4 linked regions of the Caenorhabditis elegans genome follow. The protein of the gene in region 1 interacts with the protein of each later gene in a pairwise test. Each region holds a gene or a part of one and is shown in the gene's direction. Other genes may lie near its edges.

Evidence for each region.
Region 2: the proteins of nhr-31 (region 1) and ceh-14 interact in a two-hybrid assay, tested with the Caenorhabditis elegans proteins (one large-scale study listed by BioGRID).
Region 3: the proteins of nhr-31 (region 1) and lsy-2 interact in a two-hybrid assay, tested with the Caenorhabditis elegans proteins (one large-scale study listed by BioGRID).
Region 4: the proteins of nhr-31 (region 1) and let-391 interact in a two-hybrid assay, tested with the Caenorhabditis elegans proteins (one large-scale study listed by BioGRID).

What each region holds. Positions count from the first base shown.
Region 1 is NC_003282.8:8,023,486-8,031,257, reverse strand, and holds the start of nhr-31 (Nuclear hormone receptor family member nhr-31), read left to right. Parts: upstream 1-1,744; 5' UTR 1,745-1,835; coding exon 1,836-1,942; intron 1,943-2,600; exon of another isoform or gene 2,601-2,747; intron 2,748-5,220; coding exon 5,221-5,498; intron 5,499-5,581; coding exon 5,582-5,736; intron 5,737-6,012; coding exon 6,013-6,494; intron 6,495-6,594; coding exon 6,595-6,868; intron 6,869-6,913; coding exon 6,914-7,087; intron 7,088-7,287; coding exon 7,288-7,437; intron 7,438-7,772. UniProt on the Caenorhabditis elegans protein: Orphan nuclear receptor.
Region 2 is NC_003284.9:7,527,256-7,534,369, reverse strand, and holds ceh-14 (LIM/homeobox protein ceh-14), read left to right. Parts: upstream 1-1,637; coding exon 1,638-1,743; intron 1,744-2,508; exon of another isoform or gene 2,509-2,657; intron 2,658-2,886; coding exon 2,887-2,977; intron 2,978-3,034; coding exon 3,035-3,139; intron 3,140-4,204; coding exon 4,205-4,321; intron 4,322-4,365; coding exon 4,366-4,454; intron 4,455-4,513; coding exon 4,514-4,596; intron 4,597-5,147; coding exon 5,148-5,231; intron 5,232-5,281; coding exon 5,282-5,417; intron 5,418-5,465; coding exon 5,466-5,543; intron 5,544-5,587; coding exon 5,588-5,754; 3' UTR 5,755-6,601; downstream 6,602-7,114. UniProt on the Caenorhabditis elegans protein: Probable transcription factor, modulating expression of helix-loop-helix protein mbr-1 and homeobox protein ceh-63, perhaps acting in concert with ceh-63. Binds to a motif including the sequence 5'-CTAAT-3' in regulatory promoter elements.
Region 3 is NC_003284.9:2,087,865-2,093,769, forward strand, and holds lsy-2 (Zinc finger protein lsy-2), read left to right. Parts: upstream 1-1,839; 5' UTR 1,840-1,935; coding exon 1,936-1,962; intron 1,963-2,140; coding exon 2,141-2,281; intron 2,282-2,332; coding exon 2,333-2,438; intron 2,439-2,490; coding exon 2,491-2,647; intron 2,648-3,062; coding exon 3,063-3,146; intron 3,147-3,197; coding exon 3,198-3,293; intron 3,294-3,352; coding exon 3,353-3,529; intron 3,530-4,398; coding exon 4,399-4,507; intron 4,508-4,608; coding exon 4,609-4,704; intron 4,705-4,760; coding exon 4,761-4,865; 3' UTR 4,866-5,389; downstream 5,390-5,905. Other genes in the region: col-164 (Nematode cuticle collagen N-terminal domain-containing protein), read left to right, coding at 5,625-5,853. UniProt on the Caenorhabditis elegans protein: Involved in transcriptional regulation. Required to specify left-right asymmetry of the ASE gustatory neurons, probably acting upstream of microRNA lsy-6.
Region 4 is NC_003279.8:6,036,796-6,041,794, forward strand, and holds let-391 (C2H2-type domain-containing protein), read left to right. Parts: upstream 1-1,607; 5' UTR 1,608-1,635; coding exon 1,636-1,662; intron 1,663-1,741; coding exon 1,742-1,854; intron 1,855-1,899; coding exon 1,900-1,978; intron 1,979-2,028; coding exon 2,029-2,229; intron 2,230-2,323; coding exon 2,324-2,442; intron 2,443-2,746; coding exon 2,747-3,059; intron 3,060-3,470; coding exon 3,471-3,669; intron 3,670-3,869; coding exon 3,870-4,180; 3' UTR 4,181-4,472; downstream 4,473-4,999. Other genes in the region: C27A12.4 (C2H2-type domain-containing protein), read left to right, coding at 1-686; szy-5 (C2H2-type domain-containing protein), read left to right, coding at 4,879-4,999.

The sequences.
Region 1 (7,772 bases):
CGTCGTTGTTACGTTACTATTCAGGCGGAACACACACAGTCACCAGAACCATCATATTTTATTTGTTTCTTTTTTCTTTTCCTTTTCTATTTGAAACCATCAACTTGGGATTTCCCATCTCACGTCTCAATGTTGCAGAATCTTTAGTAAAAGTCGAAACACAAATATATGATTTATTGGCAGGTTATTATCAGTTTGTGCCAATTTATTATCGAAGAACAGTTTGATTAAATCAAGTAAAGTCAGAAAGTCTATTCAACTTTTATTAAGAATTTTAAATATTTTCTATAATCTCCAAGAGTTCGACTCATATTAATGTGTATTCTTTACATTATAACTTTTAAAATTCAATTTTTTTCGCTTAAAAGTTCAAAAATCTGAAAAGAACAATCGGACAATCGTTGTGGTCGTCATAGAGCTGAAATGATCTACGAATAGTTCAAAGTACTGTATAATCTAGTAGCCATATACATTTTCATAATCCTCTCCGTATTTCTTTTCACCAATCCGCTCCGTCATTTTGCATTTTTAACAAGTTTCGGTTATTCCATATTTTCATTTACATAACTTACACGTTTATGTTTCTATTTCATGTTAATTCCATAGTATTCTGGATGGTTCCAAAATAGTTTTGAATTGTATATTGTTTGAATTGGTCCAACTCCGAGAATTACCAAAAGTTTAGAACATTTGAAGAAAACATAACAATGTTTGGTTATTGATAACATAAATTTTGTTGAATCTTCAAGCTTCATTTATTCATATTTTTCCAAATTTCAAAAAAGGATTTCTAAATTTAAAATGTCCACTAAACAATCCTTAATCTCTTGGCAGCTCCTCTTCTTCACACGTGGTTTTTTTCAGTTATCAGAACAATAATCGGTGGTGTGCCAGCTTGCTGAATTGGCTTGGCAAACTTTTTTTGCGTCCTTCTCCGCCACCGTCACTCGTTATCATCAATCACAAATTTTTGGCTGCTGCCACGTTAGACTCTGATTTGTAAGGGGGACATGAACTATTATCAGAAGCTAATTCTTAAATTCTAAAATGAAAATATTAATTTAGAAAAACGAGAAATAGATAATAAATGGAAACCTACTCTCGTTTCTTTCTCCAATAAATCAAATAAAAATAAGAAAAGTGCGACTGGTTGAGTCGTTACCTAACTTTATCAATATTTGATTAGAACTTAACAATGTTTTTGAAATGATCCACTTGGACGTACAAGAGGTAGTACACATTAAACTGACCGTTCGATTTTTTTTCTTAACTTTAATTCACTTAGAGAAAGGTAAAAGGAATCCATATATAAATTACGGGATGTAAATAATATTTTATTATTAAAGAAAGGTTTTAAAACAAACTATGTAGAATCTAGTCAAATAAGTAATTTTCTATTTCTGGAGATAATTTTATTTAAAATTGAATTTTCTTAATTACAGAGAAATTACGTTCAAAATCTCATTAAAAGATGTGATAACCCGACACCTCAATACATTGACCGTTTAATTTCTTTCCGTTTTCATATATATTTTCATCTAAACACATTCATATATTTATATATACAAATGAAACCTAAACCCGTTTAATAATCCGCCTGACCGTCTATCCATCCTGTCCGTCCGTCTATCCTCCTGTCCACCTTCCGACCACAATTACCGTCCCTTTTTCTTTCATTTTCACCGTTTATTTTTCTGAAATCCGTTGCTTTAATATGTATACATTTATATATACTTTTTTCCAGCAACAACAAATAGAAGAACACGAATTTTAATTTCAATTAATTCAAAATTTTTCCCATATCGACGCTGCCGTTTGCAGCACCATCTGTTAAAATGGAACAACTTGATGTCGAAGATTGGGAGTATTGGGGTGATGAATATCTTGAAGAAGAACCAACTTATGCAATAAGACCTGGTACAAGAGTTGTGAAAGTTGAAAGGTTAGTAAATCGATTATTATAACTTTTCTGTGCATTTGAACTTGCATCATAACCCTAACTTTTTTGAGAATTAATATCAAATTATTAAGATTTATTTGCTCAATTGATCAGTTGGAGATCATTTCATAGTTTTTTCTTTAATTTTTTGAACTTGTGAGATAAATAATTTTCAAAAAATTTTGTTTACCGAAGCCGCCAAAAAATTTTATCTCAAATATATAGCTCTAGTGGCTCTTTGATAAAAACATTGAAAATTGAAAAGAAAAGATTTACTTGAAACCCCATTTAATGCTAAATCTAAATTTATTCAAAGTCAATGTGATACAAAATCCCTTCAGGCCTTAAACTTTTACATCTATTCTGATATCAAAGCATTTGATAGTTTCAAAGAAATTACGACATTTTGGCAATCAATCGCTGATCTTCTGACGTTTTCAGATCAATTGACAATGATTTAAATGAACTTTTGAGCAATTATCTCAACTCATTAGAGCCATTAGATAGTTTTCAAGAAGCTGCAAGTACGTGTTCTATTTGCATTTTAATTCTAATTCCCTTTTGTATAGGACAGAGTCTCCCCTTTGTTATCTTATTCTTGCCCCGCCACGACGCAACAACCATTTTTGTGATAATAATTTGCAATTTTATCAATGGCACTACTACCTCTGATCACCACCATCTCACACATACTTTGTAAAAGCGCGTCGATCGTAAATACTACTGTCTTGCCACTTTAGTAGTAACCCTGCCACGTGGAAACTTTGAAATTTGGCGTGGAAATGAGTGAAGAGGCACGTGACAAGATGCGCGCGAAGAATGATCAAATTGCGATAAAAAGGGATAGGTGAATGATCTTTGTGATTTGAATGCTACTTGAGGAATGGTTTACATGGAAATTGAGAAAAAGTAAAATAAAAGGGTTCAAGGACGGTAATCGATCAATTTGAATGAATGAAGAAAGATATGATTGTGATTGATAAAAGGAATTTGCTACAAGAAACCGAGACGAACTGCATCGGTTCATATGAGTCAGATGTGTTCTTCGGTTGAAGAAGATCACTTAATTTAGTGAGAAGTTTCTTTTGAGATTCAATTTTGATTATATTCTTAGAAGTTTTCAGAAAGACAGTTTAGTATTCACTCCACAAGGTTAATAGCTAAAAGTATTCTCTACTCGATTCGAAAAATAATTTTTGCGGGTTTTTACTTTTAGTATAAAATATTTGAATTTGAAAAAATCTCTAGTTAGTAGTTTGTTCGTGTGCAAAGCTTAAACAGGATAATTAAAGTATTTTAAAATATAATCCAGCTTTGATTCTAGATCACAATTCAGCATCTACTTATAGATAAACTAGTATATGTTAACTTCCCCTATCCTATCCAATAACCTTTTCCTTATTCAGCTGTAAACAACAATTGATACAAGTTATCTTATCTCCAAATGCCTCCTCCAATTTTATGAGACCCGTAAAAAAATTCGATAGACAAAAAGCATTACGATTTTATTTATTTTGGTGACATTTTGGATCCTTGTAGTCAGAGGCTCTATCATTTGATCTTCTAATATATCTTTACAAAAAGGCAATACATCCAATTAGCCCAATTAGTCTGCACGTCTTGATATAAATATGACATCATACATTTACTGATTCGAATCGTTGATTTTTAATTTAGAATTAAGGATAAACAGAAAGAAGATTTAAGTGTTTGATTGGAGAATATAGGCATCCTATGCTAAAAGCTATCTCTAATTTATTACTGACATCATCCGTTTCTCGTCTGTGTTTCATGTATCTTTATCACCTTTCCCTCCTCTAGTAGAATGACCTAGAAAGTGATTGGCAAGTCTGGCAAGCCTACAGGGGGACAAGGGTTATAAGATTGATAGGTAATAAATTCTTGTAAAATGAAGAAAAAAAATTCTGTGCGGATAAACGAAGCGGAAATCATCATTGTGTGCGTGCTTTGAGGAAAGGTTCGCGCCTGTTTACTTGCCTTGTTCGGAGGTCGAGATTTCGGACACGAACCACCTCATATTTTTCTCTCGTTTCTTTTCTTCGATTCTCTTTTTTCCATTACTATCTCTCTTCCTTTGGTTCTTATTTTCTCGACAGTCTCTTTTGGTCAGTATAGTTCCTAACTAGGAACTGTTCGAAATCTGGCATGATAATTCTTCAAAAACGCTTATGAAACTTCAAAAACTCGGACTATTTTACTGTGAAAGTATATACCTCCGTTCGTTTCAACAAAAAAAAAGTTAAGCTTTGAAACTATAGAAAAATTAATAATACATCTGCTGCCAGTTGATTTTAAATTGATTCAATCGAAAATAGCCAAGATATCAGGTGCCAAAGTTGAGCAAGATTAATTGAGAAAATAATGTTTTTGGGAGTGCATTTTTTCAAATATACAAGTAGTTTATCAACAAAAAATTATTTTGTACTGGTGTAATTGATTTAAAAAACAAGTAATTGATGTGAAAAACAAGCTTAAATACTGTTCTAAAATAAAGTTACAGGTGTTAAAATGTTTTAAACAAATTATTTACTATTTGTTCAAAACCTTAGTGACATCTAATCTTTATGTTTTCATTTTCTCTTCATCCTCTCAAGCGTCTTCTGTTTTGTATTCTTCTTCTTCTTTATTTCAAATCAGTGTCTCTTTCGCCTTGTTATCAGTAAATCGTCGTCGTCTTCTCCTCCTTCATCTCCTTTTATTTCAATGTCACTCCCACTTAATTTCCCCCATTTTGTAATATTATCATAGAGAGACACCGCCCCATAGGTATTCCCCCAAATACGTCAGTTTTTCCACGTGGAACTTTTTGGTCTTTTTGATGTGTGAACTTTGATAGTTTGCAACAAATTGAAATTATGAATTTTTTTTATCATCAATGGAATTGGTCACTGTTCCAATGATTTTTTAATTGGATTCTTAAATGCCTTTTGGCTAGAAAACTTTGCACATTTAGCTCCGATTAAGCAATGAATTTTTACAATAACAAAAAAGTGCCTATCGACTTTCAATTCCGCTTCCACACACAAAATTTTGCAATTTTGAAACTGAAAAAACCGTATCAAATATAATACTCTTTTGAAAGTTTAATCACTTGAAAAATGTAATTCCGTCTTCACCAAAAAACGTTGTATTTTCCAAGACACAAATTATTGTGGGAAGATCAAGAAATCAAAATTTCAAGGACACACTCTAGTTTTTAAATTTTATTATTTTTGTGTTTGAAACTAATTTTCCCGATCTTTTAACTTTAAAATTTCCAGAGTTCCAATGATGCGAGGAGATTTAAGGACAAGCGGTGCCACGTCATCAAGTGGTCCCGCCACGTCATATATCATCAGGCCCAGTGACAAGCAACCCACAGTTTCTAGTGGTGGATCACAGAATGGAGATTCAGTTTGTGCTGTTTGTGGTGACGGAATTGCAAAATTACATTATGGAGTACTTGCATGTTATGGATGTAAAGGATTCTTTAGAAGAACACTGACTGGAAAATATCGATATGCATGCAGATTCTCAAATAATTGTATTGTTGATAAATGTAAGTTTTTTAAAGAATAAATTCGAATATACTTGACTGAGTATCTTTATAATCAAGAAAATACCTGAAGTTTCGGTTTTCAGTCCAGCGAAATAGTTGCCGATACTGCAGATTTCAACGTTGTATTCAAGCAGGAATGGATCCAAAAGCAGTCAGGCCGGATAGGGATCAGACAGGAAAACAGAAAGTTCCAAGAATTAAGAAGAAGCAAATTGATGAGGAGCTTTTAAATCATATGGTATGTTTTGAAAATGTAGATACACTGAAAAAAAACTGGTGGCAAATTTAAAATTTCCAAAAATTTGACAATTCACAAAAACTTGACATAAAATTATGGAAAATCTCAAAATGATTTGAGTGTTTTTTGTGATGTTTTCTATTTGTTCTGGAATAATCGAGTGAAAAATGTTTATGCATATTCAAACAGTTAAAATTTAGTTTGTGTTGTTGATAAAATCCAGAATAACTTACACTATACATGAATGATGTATAAATTAATACTTGAAATTTTCAGATGCGGTTACAAGGAGATGATTGGTCACGAAAACTTCCTGTCGAGACTCGAATTTTATTAATGCAATTGATGAGTATTGAGGATAAAGTAGTAAAAGGAGATAATAATATGAGTGCACAAAACACTGCAAAAGATCCAAAAAGTATTTCATTACGGGAAATGTTTGAATCAAAACCTGCATTAGATGGTCGACGGATGGAAATTGGTTATGAACCATTTCGAATGGCAAGAACTGAAGAACTTGGAGTAATTGCTCATAGAAGAGCAATTGCAGCTGTTGATTGGGTTGATTCATTAACTGAAATTGCGGATGCAGTTGATACTGAAGATAAAGTTGCATTGGTTAAAAGTTGTTACTCGCCGTTAACTATTTTCAATTTCTCTGCGAGAACTGCTCAGAATACGAAGAATCCGGATATTTTGTGTCTTTGCAGTCATTCATTTGTTCCAAGAAGATTGCCTCCAGAGTTTAATGAGACAAAGTAAGTTGGAATTTTAATTTAATTCCAATTTTTATCAACGCAATAAAAATATATGAAAAATACTATTTAAAATTAAAGAAAATTAATTTGATTTATTCAGTCATCTCTCAAACTTCCTGATTGATCGAACGTTAAATGAATTGGTGGCTCCATTGAGAAAATTAAATCTGAAAGAAGAAGAAATTGTTCCATTAAAAGCAATTATTATTTTAAATCCAAATGCAAAAGGACTATCCGAGCATGCGAGGCACGCGATTTCTGAGTTGAGAGATAAAGTTCAAGATATGCTTTTCCAAATTGTCAAGGAGCTTCATCCAATCTATTCTGCAAGCAGCCGATTTGGAAACTTGTTGCTTCTTCTGCCAACAATTACTGTTAGTCGTCATTACTGTTGCATTCTCTATTTCAAAACATTTCAGACTCTTTCCGGATTGATGTCTGAAAACATGCATTTCTGTCAAGCTCTTGGAGGACGTGCAAGTGGAGATAACTTGTTAGCTGAAATGTTTGGAGATAGAACATTTGATGATCAACTTATCAGCAGCAGCATTAGCCCACCACTATTCGAGAATCCAGCTGAAATTTGTTTAGAGGTCAGTTCACTAAAAATGACTGAAAGATCAAACTTTATATCATTATCTTTTTCTTTTAATTGTCATTAAAACTATAAACTCATTAAAACTATAAAATTTCGGAGTTTCTCGGAGAATTGAAAGTTGAAATTTGCCAACTACCAACTGATAAATGGCAATGATAAGAGTGTGCAAAAATCTAATTTCTTGTTTGTTTGCAGAGTATCTCACCGCCAATGTCTGATCGAAGATTCGTGAGAAGGGTAGATGTGGCAACACAGACAAATGATGATTTGTTATCATCTGGACCATATCTTCCACATTCAAATTCATGTAGCTCCATGCTTAATGCTGGATACTCTCCTCCAATGGTGAGAGAAGTTTGAAAATATTTATGGAATTTGAGGGAAAATATGTTGAAACTTTCTTGGATAGTAAAGATTCTAAATTGAGGGAACTAGCTTCAATGCGTTTTACACAAACATATTCTTAAGAATATACAAGAAGTTTGAAAAACGTTCAAAAAAGCTCAGATAGAGGCTGTGACTATTATCGATTTTTCTTTTATACAAATCGGTACCTATTTTTGCTAACTCGCTCCAAGTCTCTTAACATTTTTTTCTTGGGAATTTCTATTTCTATTATTAACACCGTTTCAAGTTAAGACTAAAGTGGTCGAGCCCAAGAAACTCCTTCCATATGTGGG
Region 2 (7,114 bases), on another chromosome or scaffold:
ATAATAATTTAGTCTAGACAAATACAAGCAATATACTATCACATATTATTGTAATGATAGAAGTAGTGAAAAAGAAACTCACACAGAAATTGCTATAAAAATGATCAACCGGAACATTACCAACTTACATTGTTTCATGTTTATTTTTGTTATTTATTAAGTAAAATAATTTATAAGAACTTTTTCTAGTAGTCTTGTACCACAATTGTTGAACATTGAAAGCTCAAAGTTGTTGCTTTGTCGGAACATTTTCAGTCGGAACAAGTGCCAAATATGTGTGCTTTTGATATTCCAATAGTTTAACAAATTTGAATAGAATCCAAAACTCAAGATATGAGTTGCCACATAAGAGCAGTAAAGATTTAAGCTTAATAGAAACAATACTAATACGGTAATACGTATATTTGACGATAATTTTTGAATAGACATTTTGAAGCTATTTTTGTATTTTTAAAACTTCCATGAAATTCAATCATCGGGTTACTTTACTAAATAGTTTATATTTTACTTATTCATAGTTTCGACTGTTTTGTATTTTAAGATCAATGTTTACTACTGTTAGGCTCCTCAAGTTGAATTTCTGTTAATTCTATTGTTTCCAAGATGATATTTCATTCTGAAACTCTACTCCTGAAAATTCAACAATTGTTTTCATTTAAAATGAGCAACTGTAATTTTCTATTCATTAAAGTATTTTTTTTACCATTTAAAAGGAACCCATTCATGAAAAGTTCAATAGTTTCTAATAATGCAATAATCCACAAAAACATGTTCATGCCGCAATTTAATTTTTTCTTGACCTAACTGATCATTTCATTTTCTCATTTCATTTCAAAAAGCACGCAATATTAATGAAACTAGGACACCCTCTCTTAATTGCTTTTGACATCAATTAAGTTGAAATGTTTCTTTCTTTTTTCAAATTTTGCACTTTTTCAATCATTTTGAAAGTAGAATATAAACAAAGTTTTTTGGAAAGATGCTATTGCTCCGAAAATCACGAGGAACGAGCGGATTTGAGAGGATTTCTGAATTTATCGATGATAAAAACAATCTTCTTATTTTCGCGGCCGTTTCTGTAAAACATTTGCTTAGATGTGATAAGTCATTTGAGCAACATTCAATTAGTGAACTTTAGGTTTGAATCCATTGTTTCGGGAGATGTATCGTATCCCAGAGCTAAGAAATGCACAAGAGAGCATGGCTTCTTACCCGCTCATTGGCGTGAGACAAGAAATGGGCGGGACTTTATTTTCGGGACATTCATGGCTCGTGGAGCATAACATACACGTAGTCTCAAGAACCGACTAACGACATTTTTTCTTAACTTTCCATACGAGTTTGATCATGAGTCTGAAACATTTGACTAGGCTTTTTATAAAAGTTCATTAGCTATTCAAGCTAGCGTGCGGTTTTTTTTTCATGAATACTTTTTTTTTCTGAAATTAGACTTTTAGCTAATCAAATTTTTTCTTTCTTTTTCTTTTTTGTTTTCATATAATAAACAAAAATAAAGAGAAAATAAATTACATTATATCTTTGGTTTCGCTTAAATATTCACCTCAACTAAATCGTCAGAATCGTCTATCCCGAATTCGACTCGCTATGTTTATTTTCAGAGGCCTTTTTCAACAAACATGCTGGGACACAACATTTTGACTCTTGGCGAGTGCGATGAGCTGGACAATCATATCGTGATGTGCAGCACCGGGCTTCTTTCTCCGCAGGAAGACTTTAGTAATGGTAGGTTTGGAAACATATTCTTCGGATATACTCGATTAAAATAAATAGGTATTTTTTGTATCTGTACCCCGAAATGTTTTCAATTTTTCCAAAAATTAAAAATGTTTTCTTTTTGTATTTTAGACGCAGGAGCAATCATGGTTATTTACGTGTTGACATCATAGAATTTTATACACTGAAAACATATTGGGTAACAGCTAATAAACAAGTACCATATATTGCTCGTATTTATCAAAATGCATAGTGTGAAGAATTGATTTTTTCAGAGAATGCCAGCTGTTGAGCTGCAAATTTGTTTTTTTAATCACAAACCCCTTAAAACCGGGACAAGGGACTTTTTAGTAAACATCTAGAAAATTAGTTCAACACCATTTCGTGAAAACATTTCATACTTCAGAATCATAAGCAAAAACGTATTCCCCATATTCTTAAGTCATACGACAAAAAGAAAAGAAAAAAGTCCATCCTTGTCATTTCGCTTCCTGTCCTTTTGAACATTACCGACAACTACACCATTTTTCTCTCATACTTCATATTACAATAACAGTAGCCAACGGCAGTGGCCTTTGTCGCTTATCACTTTCTTCTCCTCGCGTTTTTTTAGTTGACCATCCTTTTGCCTATTGTGACTCAATATTACACACTGGAAACGTTTTTCGAAACCTATCACACCTTTTCGCGCGTTCTCGGATACCTCGTTTCGGGCCTCGTGTTCGTATTTTCTGTGTCTCTGAGCAACAAAAATAGCATAATATTTTTGCTAATACTGGACCATCATTCTTCTGGAAATTTGATATTTTAATGGTTGGTCACACCTCCGCGCATCATCCGTACCTTTAGCAGTTTATGGGGAGGACGCACACCTGCAAGCTTCTGGCGATGAGCATTGAATTACCGTTAGGTTCGTTATATCCCTCCTCCTGTTTTCTCTCTTGTTCCTCCAACCTGTTTAGCCACAAATTAAGTAAAAACAGTAGGAGTCAACAATATTATGACAGAATATATAAGGTTTAGTGTGTAGCAAGGGAAAATGGACAAGACAAGGAGAATGTCAAGCATAAAGCATGTGTCAAGAATATGTGTCAAGAATGGGTATCTAGCCGACACGCCGCTATATGAAACAAGTTGAATTATTTATTACAGTTAATGCAGGCCATCCGAATAACGAAGAAGCCATTTGTTCGCTTTGTGACAAGAAAATAAGAGATCGGTTCGTTTCAAAGGTCAACGGAAGGTGGGTTCACTGTTCTTCTCTAGTATTTTTTTCTCGACAAAGTTTCATTCTTTTCAGATGTTATCATTCATCATGCCTCCGATGTTCTACGTGTAAAGACGAGCTTGGTGCGACATGTTTCCTGCGCGAAGATTCTATGTATTGCCGGGCACACTTTTACAAGTAAGATGGTAGTTTTAGCTTTTTTTGGTATCACAGAAATGCGTAGTGCGGCTTTTTAGCTTTCTTACTCACATATTTTGAAATAGAACGGAGAAGTGTATGATAACAAAACATTGTCTTTGAAAGCTTATGTTTTTTTTTTTTTTAATATTTGGTGCGAAAACATTTTCAACCAGAAGAATAGAATTTAAATTCAACTTGGAAACTAGGGGATAGCTTTTTGGTAAATCTTAGAATAAAAAATTAGAGAACGATTTCAAACATTCAATGATAATAATAAAAATTTAAAAGGTTTTTTTGAGTAAACGTTCAATTTTCTTTTATAATATAATATCACAGCTCTCTGACTTCAGATTAAAATTTTTCTTTAAAAATAGATGACTACAAAAAATATGGTTGCAGAGTATCACTCTAATAAAAAAAAAGTTAATCTGAAAATTATTCAGTGCGTTACCGTAAACTTGCTCCAATAAGGTTGATAATTTTATTTATTACGGTCTTAAATTTCTTAAAAATAGGAAAGCATTCCGTGAAAAAAAAACTTTTGAATTTTTCCGGAAAGTTCTCAAAACGTTTTTGATCGAGTTTAATGAAAAAGTTTCAGATTCAGTAGTATTCAAAATATTTTTATAATACTCAACCTTGAAATCATCAGAAGTCATATCAGAAGTCATAGAAGAATTGTTTTTAAGAGTGAACAAAAACATCGAAAAACTTTCAAATAACATGGGTTTTCTTTTTTGGAAATCTATATGTGAACCGAAATATTTACTTGTCATTTATGTCATTTATAAAAAACAAAAGAAAATTAGAATACATCTGTCAAAATAGTTATAGTTGTAGAATTTATTATTCGATTGAATAAAATCTTAATACATATAATTTTGTACATTGAAGCAAATGAGTTTGTTCATGAAATTACTCGTACTAATAGTTTTCGTTTCTACCAAACCCACCCATAACGTTATTTTTTCAAGTGCAATGTTTCAATTTTTGCATTGTAAGTTTTGATAGCTGAACTGCATTCGTCTTCTTTTTTTTCATTTACAAAACTCATAACTTCAGAAAATTCGGTACCAAATGCTCCTCCTGCAATGAAGGCATCGTCCCGGACCATGTTGTTCGAAAAGCATCGAATCATGTCTACCATGTTGAATGTTTTCAGTGTTTTATTTGCAAACGGTAAACTTTAAACTTATTGCTCTGAAACTTGCATATTTTTTCAGATCTCTTGAAACCGGAGAAGAGTTTTATTTGATTGCCGACGATGCGCGACTCGTGTGTAAAGACGATTATGAGCAGGCTAGAGATAAACGTAAGTGATCAGTCCTCCATAAAGAGCTACTCGATTTTTCTCAATAGTCTCGCTTCCAGACTGCAATGAACTAGAAGGCGATGGTAGTAACAAGAGACCACGGACTACGATTTCCGCCAAGAGTCTAGAAACCTTGAAGCAGGTGAGCTCTTTCCACTGTTTTTATCATTGATGAGGTGAAGTCATAAAATAAAGCAAATCATTTTTGTAAAGCAAGACAGCGCCGTAGATTGACAAGAGCCACATAAAACCGCAACACTCTGGCGCCATTTGTAATAGAATTGAGTGCAATCCGCTTGTCAGATTCTTTAGTGAGTGAGCATTTCACAACAGAAACAATTTACTGTAATATTAGTGTTACCAATTATAAATTCGTATTCCTTAAAACATTACAATATAAAATATAATATTACTATACAATCGAAACATCCGGAATTGTCTGTTTAGCAATTTCAGGTGCGATCCATACTTTTATTATAAGTGTTGCAAGTGATAATTAAGATAACTTGTTTTAAACAAAAGTTCTCAACAATTTGAGCAGAGTTATTAGACCATTACGTGTACAAAGCCAATAGAACTTACTAGACTACTTTTTAATTCGTCGTTCTGAGTGCACGACTAATAGGAAATCTGCTCTACACTTCAATATAACTATAGATGTATTATTTCAAATGTTTAGATTTATTATTTCAGGCATACCAAACTAGCAGTAAACCAGCTCGACATGTCAGAGAACAACTCGCTTCAGAAACTGGACTTGACATGAGAGTTGTTCAGGTAGCACTTGCCTTATCAAGCGGCTTCGCTAATGTTTTATTTTTTATCAGGTTTGGTTTCAAAATCGTCGAGCCAAAGAGAAACGGTTGAAGAAGGACGCTGGTCGCCGGTGGAAGTCCTCAAATCGTGCAGAAAGCGACAGCAACTCTCCTATCGAGAGTATCAACGGGCAGAGCCCTAATTACTGTGAGAAATTTGAAGCTTATCGCTAAGCTTTTCATTCTTGTTTTGCAGTATACCTGGATCACCCAATGGACGATGGGAACGAGAGCAATTACCTTTTTCACTCCAGAGAGCAGACACCTGATAAATGTAAGGGAATATGAATATAAACTGAAAAAGTTTAACATTTTCAGACTACCGAAACGAAACCCCATCTACCGATCCACCTCCAATGCACATGACAACTCCGAGTGTTCTAACAACCAACTTCTCAACCCCATTATCTTTATCGACTAATGTTTACAACCTTCCTCCTCCTGAATCTCAGTTAATCCCACACATGACTCCACAGTACATTTGAACTGGAGAAAAACAAAAACTCTAGTTTTCGATTACATTTTAATTTGATACTTGATACAACGTTCCGGTTTGGAGTAACGAATGGTATAATATGTAGAATATAGAAATGGTTTTTGAATTAATGTAGCCACAATTGTGAGGAATATCTTACAAAATCTTTATTAGTGGTCTTGAATCTTTGATGATGTTTTGATATTTGAGCAGAAACTGTTTCCTGGAATCATATAACTTTACAAGTACTCTACCTCACAAAATAGACGACCCCCTACTCACCAAACAGCCATGAGACATGCTTGAAACATTTTCTCTCTTGCCAAAAACCTTATCTATTCCCTGTTTTCGTATATCTCTTTATTTCTCTTTTCGTTTCATCACAGCTGTTTGCCCATGCACCGCAGTTTTCAACATTTCACCACTTTCTGAATAAATAGGTCCCTTGCCCGTTTTGCTTCTTCCAATACCCCCTCGCTCGCTCGTTTCATACATCTCATAGTCAATATTCGTGTGAGGCCCCCACTCCTCTCCTTCTAAACACTTGTTACGTATCCCTCGACACCTTGACCATTCATTCTTCATCAATGGTGGATGTGTAACACTTATTTCGAAATGTATGATTGATGGTGTTCTTCATACTTTTCTCTCACCCCACGCCACCCCCCCCCCCCCCCCCTTCCCTCCCATCAGTGTTTAATATCCGATCATCGAATTGCCAAATCATTTTGCCATATACCTTTTAATAAATCATGACAGGAATTGTATAAATTTGCCACCAATGAATGCACATCTCGAACCAATAAAACCCATCAATCAATTTGATATGGAATTATGAAAATTTAAAATAAAATCTCTCTCTCTCTCTCTCTCTCTCTCTCTCTCTCTCTCTTTTAAATCGTGTATGTATAATGATCACATGCAGTTAATTTTCGTTCAACAATCGAAAAATTGGGCGATACCCATTTTTCCAAAAATCCCGAAATACGGCACACGATCTTAAAATTTACGTGTCAAAGGAGCTGAATATTATAGTATTTTTAAAATTTCTGAGTATTGGTAATAGACACTGTTTTCTGGGAAATGTGGTTCAAAACCATTGGTTAAAACAATGTGAAAGTCATAAACCTGGTACATTTCACTGAATGAATAATCTTAAAAATTAAAAATTAATTTAAGGTTTAATGTTTCAAAACGTACATCAACGTTTATTCAATAAAAATCAATACAAAAACAAATTTTGGCATCATCAGGATTGAGGGTTTCAGTTTATATATATTACTAAAAAAAACGGTAAAACAAAATGACAGAACATAAAAATGAGAGTTTTTCGAACAATTTTCAAACTTGATCACTTGAAAATTTGAGCA
Region 3 (5,905 bases), on another chromosome or scaffold:
CATGGTAAAAGTATCTTTCACGTTTTTTTTTCTTCGCCGAGTATCTGAGTAGAGGGAGTTTCTCAACTTGTGCTCGTTTCTCTTAATCTAATTTCCCAGAACAACTTGGCGATTGTACTTCTTTTCTGAGACGTCGAACAAGTTTTCACACTCTTGTTAGAACACTTCACTTTGAAGGAATCTTACTATAAACTTTAGGTATCCTTAAAATTTTGATACTAATTGTAAAGACTAATTTTTCGAGTTTCTGGCTTAATATATTATTTTTGAAAAAAAAACGTTTTGTTTTATTTTAGTTCACCAAAACTCCCCTTCTCAAGATTTTTCAATTAGAATTGTGAAACTTATGAACATAAACTGAACAAGACACAAATTTCTCCTCAGGTTTAAAAAAACATTTGGAAAAAATTTGTTATTTTTGGTAAATTAATTTATATAACACTACTTATTGGTATTTTTATAAATAGTATAAATGCTGATAGGTTTCACAAAATGTCAATCTTTATTTGTTTTGTTGTGTTTGTTAACAAACTTGCTTTGTAGTCAATAAATTATCAATAAATATATAAATCTTATTAAATTTAATCTAAAGCTTTAAAATTCAAGAGATCTCTAACTTTTTAATTTTGTATTAAACTACTATTAACCGTTTTCACACTTTTTTTTCGAAATTAATATACACTTATTTTATTTATTTTTCAATTTCATTAACCCGAAAACATTTAATTTTATAATTCAGAATGATGAATTTACACCATCCGCAGCACCAGTCCAATTTCCATGAACAACACACGCCGTTTGCTGCTCCGATTCCAAATGGACACCACAACAACCACGTCTGCCTCCACAACAACAACAACAACAACAACTCCCAATATACTTGGAGTTACACGGTGAGCCAGCGTGGATGCGTGCGAGCAGCAGGCAAGATGCACATCTGCTCTTCGTCTGGGGCTTACGGCGTTGCACGAATATCGAATAGTGTTCATAGCGAATAGATGCGATTTTCTGAGTCCTGATCGATTTTCATTCAAATTTCCAATTTCAAATTTCAAGGTTTTATTTTTTCATTTAACTTTTTTCAATTTGCCAAAATCGTTGAAGTCTTTTGCTGGGTTTTGTTCAGTTCCAAAAGCAGCTGTGACAATATTATACATGTCTTTTATGTTAGGAAAAATATTATTGATCATGTATAATTTGATTGACTTTTACTATTCCAAGCACTAACTTCTATTTATAATTAAATCTTAATTTTACTTTCAATAAAACATTTCTGATGCAAATTATTTTTAAGACTTGCCATAGCCCAAAAATTAGCAACCAATTTCTCAATTCTCGGCCACCTGAGATTATGAAAACGCATCTGCTTATTTTTGCACCTGTTTTGTGTTTTCGACCAAACCATGACTAAAACTAAAATAATTTTTTTCATAAAATTGTATTTTATTTAGAAAAAAAAGACAATTTTAAAAATTCCGAAAAATTGCAATGAAAATGTTTTAATTTGCACTTTATAATTTTGAAAAAAAAATTGTAAAAAATGACGATTATTACGAAATAATATAAAAATACAGTTTAATTTTTTATATCTAATTTTCTAAACACTCGCAATACACAAAAAACTCATTATTTTCTAAATTCTACACTTGCTGAGTTATCAGAAACGATGTAAAAACCACGAACAGCAAGCGACGGTGGTGACCTCTGTCCTCTCGCTCACTATCCTTGTTGTTTGTTGCGCGCCTGCGTCTCGTTTTCTCGTTGCGCTGCGGCCGCGTCGCGTCCCCTCCGAGTGGTCGCATTTCTTACCGTATCGTTCTCATACCATAACCCTTTCTGCACTTGGCGGCAAGGTGAATAGTTTGAATTCGACGCTTCTTTCGCAATATCTAGCAGTCTCGAGCTGTTTTTAAGCTGTCTGAGGCAAATTTTGTCATGCTAACCAGAAGAAATGCTAAGCAGGTAACTAGATATCATTTCAAAAAAAATTTCTAAAATTTTTTGAAATCTCTTGAAACCCATGTTTTCATTTTTATTTCGCTTCTGTACTTTAACCTTTCCTTTTATAAACTCCTTTCAAATTTCAATTTATCGAATCTTTTATAAATTCCCTACTTTTTTAGACGTTCTCTACTTTCAGAGTCAACGGAATTCTGCGGATCAGTCCCTCTCTGAATTCAACAGTTCCAGTATGACTCACGGGTCGAATCAGTCAGTTTATCACCACAATCAACACATGGATGACTCCGAAATGATGATGGATGAGCAGGATTATTCTCAGGTACTCAAAAAAATTCTGAAACCATTTCAGGGGCATCATAATCAATTTCAGTATCAAATGGGGTTTCCTGAAGAAGATGAGATGGTGGAAGGAATGATGACCCCTCGAGCTGTGCACCAGTGTAATGTTTGCAACAAAATATTTGTTTCCTATAAAGGTAATTTTTTGAAAAATACGGTAGCTTTGTCTAACTCTGATTTTGTTTTCAGGTCTCCAGCAGCATGCAGTGATACACACAGATCAGAAGCCTTTCCGATGTGATATTTGTTCAAAATCATTTAGGTTTAAGTCGAACTTGTTTGAGCATCGTTCAGTCCATACCGGCTTCACTCCTCACGCCTGTCCATATTGTGGAAAAACTTGTCGGTTAGTGGTTTTTTTAAACAACATTCGCTGTGCTCTTTCAAATGTACAGTAATAAAAATGTGGCGGGTTGCGAAAACGACCGTTTCCCCTTAATTCTCATTCTCTCACAGTCGACTCTCCTCTGCTAATGCGCAGTACGGTGTGTACAGTGTACGGGCCGAGAAACGGTAGAGAAAAAGAGACGGACGAGAGACACCGTAATGCCATAGGCGACACTGTAGAACAATCGATAAAACGAAGAGAAATAGTGTTAGAATGGTGAAAAAGGCGTAGATAAGATGCATGCCGTACTCATTTCAAAACGGCACTCGTGACAGTAATCTAAATGTTGCGGGTAGAAAACACAAAAATATAATCAACAAAAATTATTTAGGCGATACGAGAAATAACAAACAAATTTTTTAAATTTTTTCAGACTGAAAGGCAACCTCAAGAAGCATCTTCGCACACACGTCACGACGAAGGAAGAGCTGGAAGCTGCCTGGAGGCCGTTTGCCAGGTTTGATCTTAACAAAAACGGAACGCCAGTATTGGCAAAATCTCGGTTCAGCAACCGTCGGCCGCCTGCTGACATCCCTGACGACGCCATCGTACTTCGTGGAGCCGGAGGACCGTACTACACGCCGCCGCCTCGTCCGAAGAAGAAGTAAGCAGACATCCAGCATGCACAATTAAAATGTGAGATTACCGAATGTTTTTTTTCAGGAAGCTTGGACTCGGAGAACCAGAGCACTGGGTGGACAAGTTGAGAAGAGGAGATCTTCTGCCACAAGTTGAGCTTGAGGACAAGATCAGACGTCTCGAAGACACTATCTTCAACAACATGTCTCTTGAGCGTTGGGGCAACCTTTTCGAGATTGCAAAGTCCATTGCATTCGAGACGTGAGTTTATTTATCCTTGAACTGAAAAGAAATCGGAGTGGAAAATGCCGTTTGAGCACATGAATTCTCAGAATTACGGTACATATTATATACATACCTGCTCTCCGTGCGTTTGAGAAAGATTTGACATCAATTCAAATTTTTTGCAACAGTTTCGCTACGAAATTTCGTCAAATTTTGATTGAATTATTATCTTAAAAGAGAGCGTACTTTATAATTTGTTTTAAAATGGCTGGAAGATTGTTGAAAGCATAGAAAGCATCAAAAAGTGAATGTAGGACTGAAAGTGAGTATAAGTATAATATCTGAAAAGCGCTCGGTGTGCGGCAAATTTGCCGAATTTGCCGAATTCATCGAATTCCGTAAATTTCAAAAATGTAGACTTGCCGAATCTGCCGAGCCCGGCAAATACTGAAATTTGCCGCACACATGAAACAATTTTTATAAAAATTTTGTACAAAACTAATGGTTTTGAACAGAAACCTAATGAAAGTAAACATAACATCGTGTTTCTTTTATTTTTTATTGAAGAAATCCACACGCGCATTAGGCAAAATTCGAACAAAAACCAGTAAACGTAGTTTATTTTTTAAATCAATTTTGGCCCTCTTTGAGCTCGAAAAATATTGCGATTTACTGAGTATGACAACCATGGCAAATTTGCCGAATTTGCCGCACACCCATGGTGCGATTCATTTCCTAATATATGCCTGGGTTTGTATACTTATTGAATTTTTTTGAACCAACTGAGTTGTAAGCTCCCAAAATCGAGCAGTGCATTACTAATAGAACTAATAGAACTATTATAATAGAAGAGAACACATTACACAGTTTAAATTAAAATTTTCATTAAACCTACCTAATTTCAGCCATGATTGTCCAGTGTGCAAGTCTCAATTCATGACCAGAATGGATTGTGTCAGCCATCACACACTCGAACACGAAAATCATCGGGAGGGTCTTGAATTTTTCTGCGAAGTGAGTTCTATAACGTTGTAATTTGAGTGGTTTTCTGTCTGTGGGATGATTGAAAATTTGTTATTATTGTTGGATTTACGATACAATATATATTTTTTCAGAAATGCTATAGACCATTTGCTGACGAGGCCAGCTACAATCAGCACATGAGCTACCACACGCGAGTTAGCAGTTTGATTGAAACTGGAGAAATTGTTGTACGTTTACAAAAGTTAATATTTGAACAAATAACTAAAGCTCACTTTTTTTTCAGCCTCAGCCAGCAGATCCGGAAATTTTGGTACCAACGAATGACGAGTTTCAAATGCTGTTTGGCGCAAACTTTGGCCAGCAGATGATGGAACCACAGTTGATTTGAAATTGATTATTATTATTGTTGCTTAGATAGAGTAATTCAGCTTGCGCACTTACCCATTTTTGACGCCTTCGATGACATTTCTTTCAACTTCTCTTATTCACCTTTTTCAAAACGGGGTACTTTTTTCTTCTTGTTTTTTTGGTTCTTTTCTTACCTCGGGGATTAGTATTTTTTGAAGATTTCCTACCCATTGACAGACAGACTTGCTCTTTCAATCATTTTTTTTTCCAAAATTGTAAGCATGCCGTTTATCATTGTTGGCATTGATCTACACCAGCGATATCTTGCTCCTTATTTCCATTTGTAATCCGTTGTTTTTTATTATTATAACCTAATGTATAACCTATTGAGGAGTTTGTATAGTCGTTGTAGTAGTCTTTGTTTGTTTTACCTTTTTTTCCCGTTGCCTGATTTCGTCTATTTTTATATATTCTTCTCTTTTGAGCCGATTGTATAGGTGTTCGATTAATATGAAGTGTCATAATTCAATTTATGGAGTGAATAATAAAATTTTGATACGTTTGAAACAAAATGGAATGAATAGCCTGGTATCCAGAATATGCAAATGCAAAAACTTGTTGAAGCGGTAGCAAGGATCAGATAATACAAATGAAAGTGGTTTGAAGTGAAGATTGGGAAGGAGTAGGACAACTTCCGGAACATACCGATCAGAGTTTTAGATAACACATGTTGTATATAAGACGGTAGTGGGGTACAACATTCATCAACCAAGTTTTTCTCCATTGTTTGTTTCGAGCAATGAGTTACAAAACTATGGAGTCGTCTTCGTCGACTGTCTCATTTGCAGTCATTCTTTCTGGAAGTGCTTTCTTGATTATGGTAACTGCTACTCCTGTCCTTTTCTATACTATGGGAGACATGACTGCTCAACTGGAAACTGCAAAAACTGGTTTTGAAGAGACTTCGAATGTGCTCTGGAAGGAGCTTGTTACGAATGAAAGCCACCGCAGAGTTGCAAGACAAACATGTAAGTGCAGATGTTAACGTTATCTGAAAATATTTGACAAATGAAAATTTAG
Region 4 (4,999 bases), on another chromosome or scaffold:
ATGCCCACAACACTCGGAGGACTGGAGGAACTCCTGCTTATGATGATCTTCCGTGTTTCAATCAGATCTCGAGGAAGAAAACATCCTACAGCCACCAGGTTCCGGAAATCGATGTAGAGCTCAACAGTTCTTCCACATCAGCTCTTCCAATTAAAGAAGAGGTTACTACAAGGAGCCCTGCACCAAATATGGGTTTTTGCGAAGTACGCCAGCTCCCAAAAGACTCCAGAGGGCCTCAGAGAGATGGCTCCTCATCTCCTGATGTTCAGTTCATCAAGACTGTGACTATGTCACGGTTAGAGAATGTTGTTCCTACCAGCTCACGTGGAAAGGCGCCAGAAGATTCATCTGCACCAGCACGTCTAGGATTCCTCTCCGATCGTGCGGTCTCCGGGTCATCAATCCCAGCCGTCGAGGAAAGATCTGGAGAAGGCAGCTTCGACTTTACAGGTCCTTCCACTCCTCGCTTGGCCCAGCCAGCTTTTGGGAACTTTTTTGGGAATAGGGCGAGTTCTTCGTCTTTCGGTGCACCATTGTCAACTCTAGCTGTGGACAAGCTGATTCCGGAACCTCATCTCTCCGGAAGCAAAGCGGTCCCAGACCATCGTTTCGATTTCAAACATTTCAGACGTCTCCGAGCAGCGGGAGGAGGGCCCCTCAAGGCGATCGCCGATGTCTCCATCTAATCAACGGGGACGTGGAGCAGGACACCAGCCACGTAACAGGGAACATACACCGAAATCGCCATTGAGAAACCAGAGGGTGAGTAATTTGCAAAATGACCTAGTTTATTCCTCGATCATGCGAAAAAACCAACTAAATCTATCTGTAAATTTCACAGCGTGGTCGCCGAAGCCCCTCGACAGATGAGTGGACCCCCAGACGTTCAGAGCATCACCATCGTCGTGACTATAGAAGAAGAAAGCGGGATTATTCAAGAGATCGCTCACGCCATCACGGAGATCGTTATTAAATTCCATGTTGCATCTCAATTTCTTTTTCTTCGATTTCTCGAGTATTGAGCCTTTATTCACATTCCTTCTCGTATGTTCATAATAAATATTCTATCTACGTTAAAAGTAAAATATTCTATCTACGTAAATCTCCTTGTCTAACGCTCAATACACAACACAAAACATTCGCCTATTTCTTAGACTCGTAAAACTTCCTGATTTCCTTATGAATTTGCATGATCAACGTGCTGCTGTTTCACTATGAACATTTTCTACTCGTATGTTATCCGAACGGCTTTTATCAATTTAAAGATTAAACTCCAATATTTGAATGGAAATGAAGATGTGATGGCAATGATCTATTCATTACTTCTTCTTCTGTCTCGTTAAGAAACAAGATTTCAGCCGTTGCAAAGAATTATATTTATTAAACCCTCAATTCAAATTTCGCGCTCTTTCGAAGACGGGATATCGGAGTGTCGTTGTTTATTTTCAATTTTATTTTTTATTCGCAAAAAATCAATATTTGACTTTTTCTTCTATTTAAAACAGTTTTTGTTGAATTTTTCCTTTCATATAAATATTATTAATCTTTAAAATTTTTATGTTTATATGATTAAATCTTCCTTATTGCCATTAATTGTGTATTTTTCCAGATCCTAAAATTCGATAAACAACCAAAATGAAGAATAACGAGGATTTAGACGAAGTAGTACATTTATCGCAAGTAAAATAACTAATTTCAATTTAGTTTTCCAATTTTCATTAAGAAAATCAAAAATTTTCAGAATTCCGATGCAATTTTCGAGGAATGGGCAGCTGAGTGCACTCCCGACGCGCAAAAAGAGCACGAAGAGCTCGAGGAGATTGTCAAGATTCCAGATTCGACATACAGAAAAAAGTATGAAATTTTTGTGCTAAAAATTTATTAAATATAAAATTGAAGGAAAGGAAATCAAAAGTTGCCGACGGTGACGACGTGCGAAGTATGTGGAGTTGCGTTGAAATATCCATCGAGGATTATGGTACAGAATATTTTATTTTTATAACAAAATGAAGATTTTTATTTGTTCAGGAACACATGAGAACTCACACAGGCGAAAAACCATACGAATGTGACATTTGTGGAATGAGATTCACTCAAAGAACTCCAATGATTAACCATTTTCGTGTTCAACACATGGGTGATCTCCCATTTCTGTGTAATTTCGGTTGTGGCAAACGATTTGTGAATAATTCACGCAGAACTGCACACGAATTAAGCCATAATGGATTGGTAAGAAAAGTTTTTATGCTATAGAAAAATTTAAAACATCGAATCAAGCATTTATATCCTAAAAGATTACCGGAATAAGATATATTTTTTGCAGAAGCGAGCAGGACCGGCACGGCCTTATCTGAAACCAGTTAAAAAGATTGTTTGTCCATCAATGGATATGGATATACTTTCAAATTCTGCACTAGCTAATTATATATCACCACCAACGATGTAAGTATATGCAGAAGTGAACTAAACTTGATAAAATAAATAAAAATTACAACAAAAAACAAGAATTATAAGATTTTACATTTTTTAAAAAGTGAATTGCGGTGTTTAATCAGCAATCTTTAAAATTGAGATTTTAACACTTTTTGTTCTTTAACAAATTTTAAAACAACATTTAAAAAATCGGTGTTTTAATTAATAAAAAACTTTGATAATTTAAATAAAACTCCTGAAAATTTCTAAATTCGAAAACTTCCATCTTATTTCCGAATTGGTAAATTTAAAAGAAATTAAAATAACTTTGCAGAGACTCAATATTTCAAAGTGATCCATCAACTTCTTCCTCTTCACCTTCTCAATTTCAATCATCAAATCAAACAACAAAACAATCTATATATCCATCAGAAAAAGAAATGGAAAAAGCTGCAATATCTAATGCTCGAATTGATGACGTTATTAATACAGTATTGGCTCGAGTTTTGGCTCCGATTGATGAAGAAATTCCGATCGAAGAACCAGAAAAAGCTCCTCAGAAAAGAGCATATATTTCAAATCGAAGAGCAACACTTGCACAATGCAATATTTGTGGATTAATGCTTAAACATCCGAGCAAAATTGCTGTTAGTTTTTTTTTCGATAAAAAACGAATTTTGGTGAAAAATGAAAAATTAAAATTATTTCAGTGCCCACAAGCTGAATTTTTGCTGAAAAATTGAGAATTGGACAGAGAAACAATTTTTTCGATAAAAAGCATTCGAAACTTGATTTTCTGAGCAAACAGAAAAAAATATTTGTAATTAAAATTTTTTAAATCAAAGCTTATAGGTTTAAATGTGTTAAAAAACAAAATTTCCAATTTTCTCTCTATTTATAAACCTCTCAAGTTCTGAAATTTCTAGAAAAATATAATATGATTTATTATATCGAAAATTGTTGAATTTTCTAAACTTTGAAATCAAAAATTACAATTTTTAATAAAAAAAAGAAAGATAAATTTATTTTTAAATACAAATTTCTTTCCCATTTTTCAGGATCATATCCGAACACACACAGGCGAAAAACCATTTGAATGTGGAGAATGTGGCTTGTCATTGTCAAAAGCGAGCTCTTTAAAAGTACATATTCGTCGAATGCATACTGGAGAACGTCCATTTGAATGTACTTGGAGATGTGGATTGTCTTTTGTAACGGATTCTGTTAGAAAAGAACATGAAATGACTGTACACACTGGTAAATATTCAAAATATATTTTACTATCCGAAATTTGGGTTAAAACCGGGGGTAATTTAGAAAAAGAAAGCAATTTCCATTTTTTTTTGTTGCAAATTTTAGAATTTTCTCAAATTAAGAGTGTTATTGAAAATATGTTAACTCAAAAATATTTAAAAGAGTAGTCATCTACAAAAATTACAATTTTTGAAACATTCCAGGTATAAAACGTTACACATGCGTTGTAAAAGGATGTAATGCAGTATTTGCTCGTCGTGTATATCTCATGAGACATCGAAAAAATGCACATCCCGAGCTCTTCACACCAATTTTCGATCATGTTCAAGTGAATCACGAGGAATCACAGGATTCAGTTATTGTTTATGAAGATGATCATGAACAGAACAATCAGATTATAATGCTCACTGGTGATGGTGATGACGTCAAGATCTTGGCTCATTTTGAAGATGATGAAGAGGAATTTGTGGAGCAAGGAGGAAGCATGGAAGATCAAAAAACTGTTCATTTTTGACCAGAAACTTGAAAAAGCTCTTTCATTTTCCAATATCTAGGCAACTTATAGGGTAACTAGCATTTTCTACTTCATATATTCAGTTTTCTATTCCACCCAGCAATTAGTTTTTAAAATGGAAGAGTTATTCAAATTTCAAATTTCTAGGCCACTATTAAATTTTGCATTTTTTAACCATTTTTTTCATTCAAATTCTAGAAAAATTGTGAGAATTAATTCTCACAATTTTCAGTTTATTTTGGTTAACCTACGAGTTTCTTTTTGCTTCTTTTTTTAATAAAGATTTTTTTTCTCAGATTTTTCAAATTTTTTTTCTTTTCCGTATTCAGTATTTTTACTGTTTAATTATACTTGCTTTTTTTTTATTGTTTGCCAATATATTTTGAAACTTTCTCCTTTCGCAAAAATTGAAAAGATGAGATTTTGAAATTTTTTTTAACATTTTCAAACTTTCAGCAAGCTATTTTTGAGCAGTTCGAAAAAATGTAGCGGTACTTTTTTTTTGAGCCCAATTTTCTATAAAATGTTTTAAAAGGGTTTAGAATGTAAAAAACCAATTAATTGTTTTTTTCAAATTTCACAAAATCCAAAACAAATTTTTTTAGATATACCTTTTTTAATTTGCTAAAAACTTTCTAAAGGTCCAGGAAGGCCCATAAAAAATTAACGTCGAAAAATAAAAATCGATATTTTCAGAAATGGCAGAATCTTGTGTAAAACCTCAACTACCTCGTCCTCGAATTCCAAATATTAGAGTTTTTCAACCAACTACTCGAATTCCCACATTTACATATGAACAATTCAACGAATCCGTCGAAA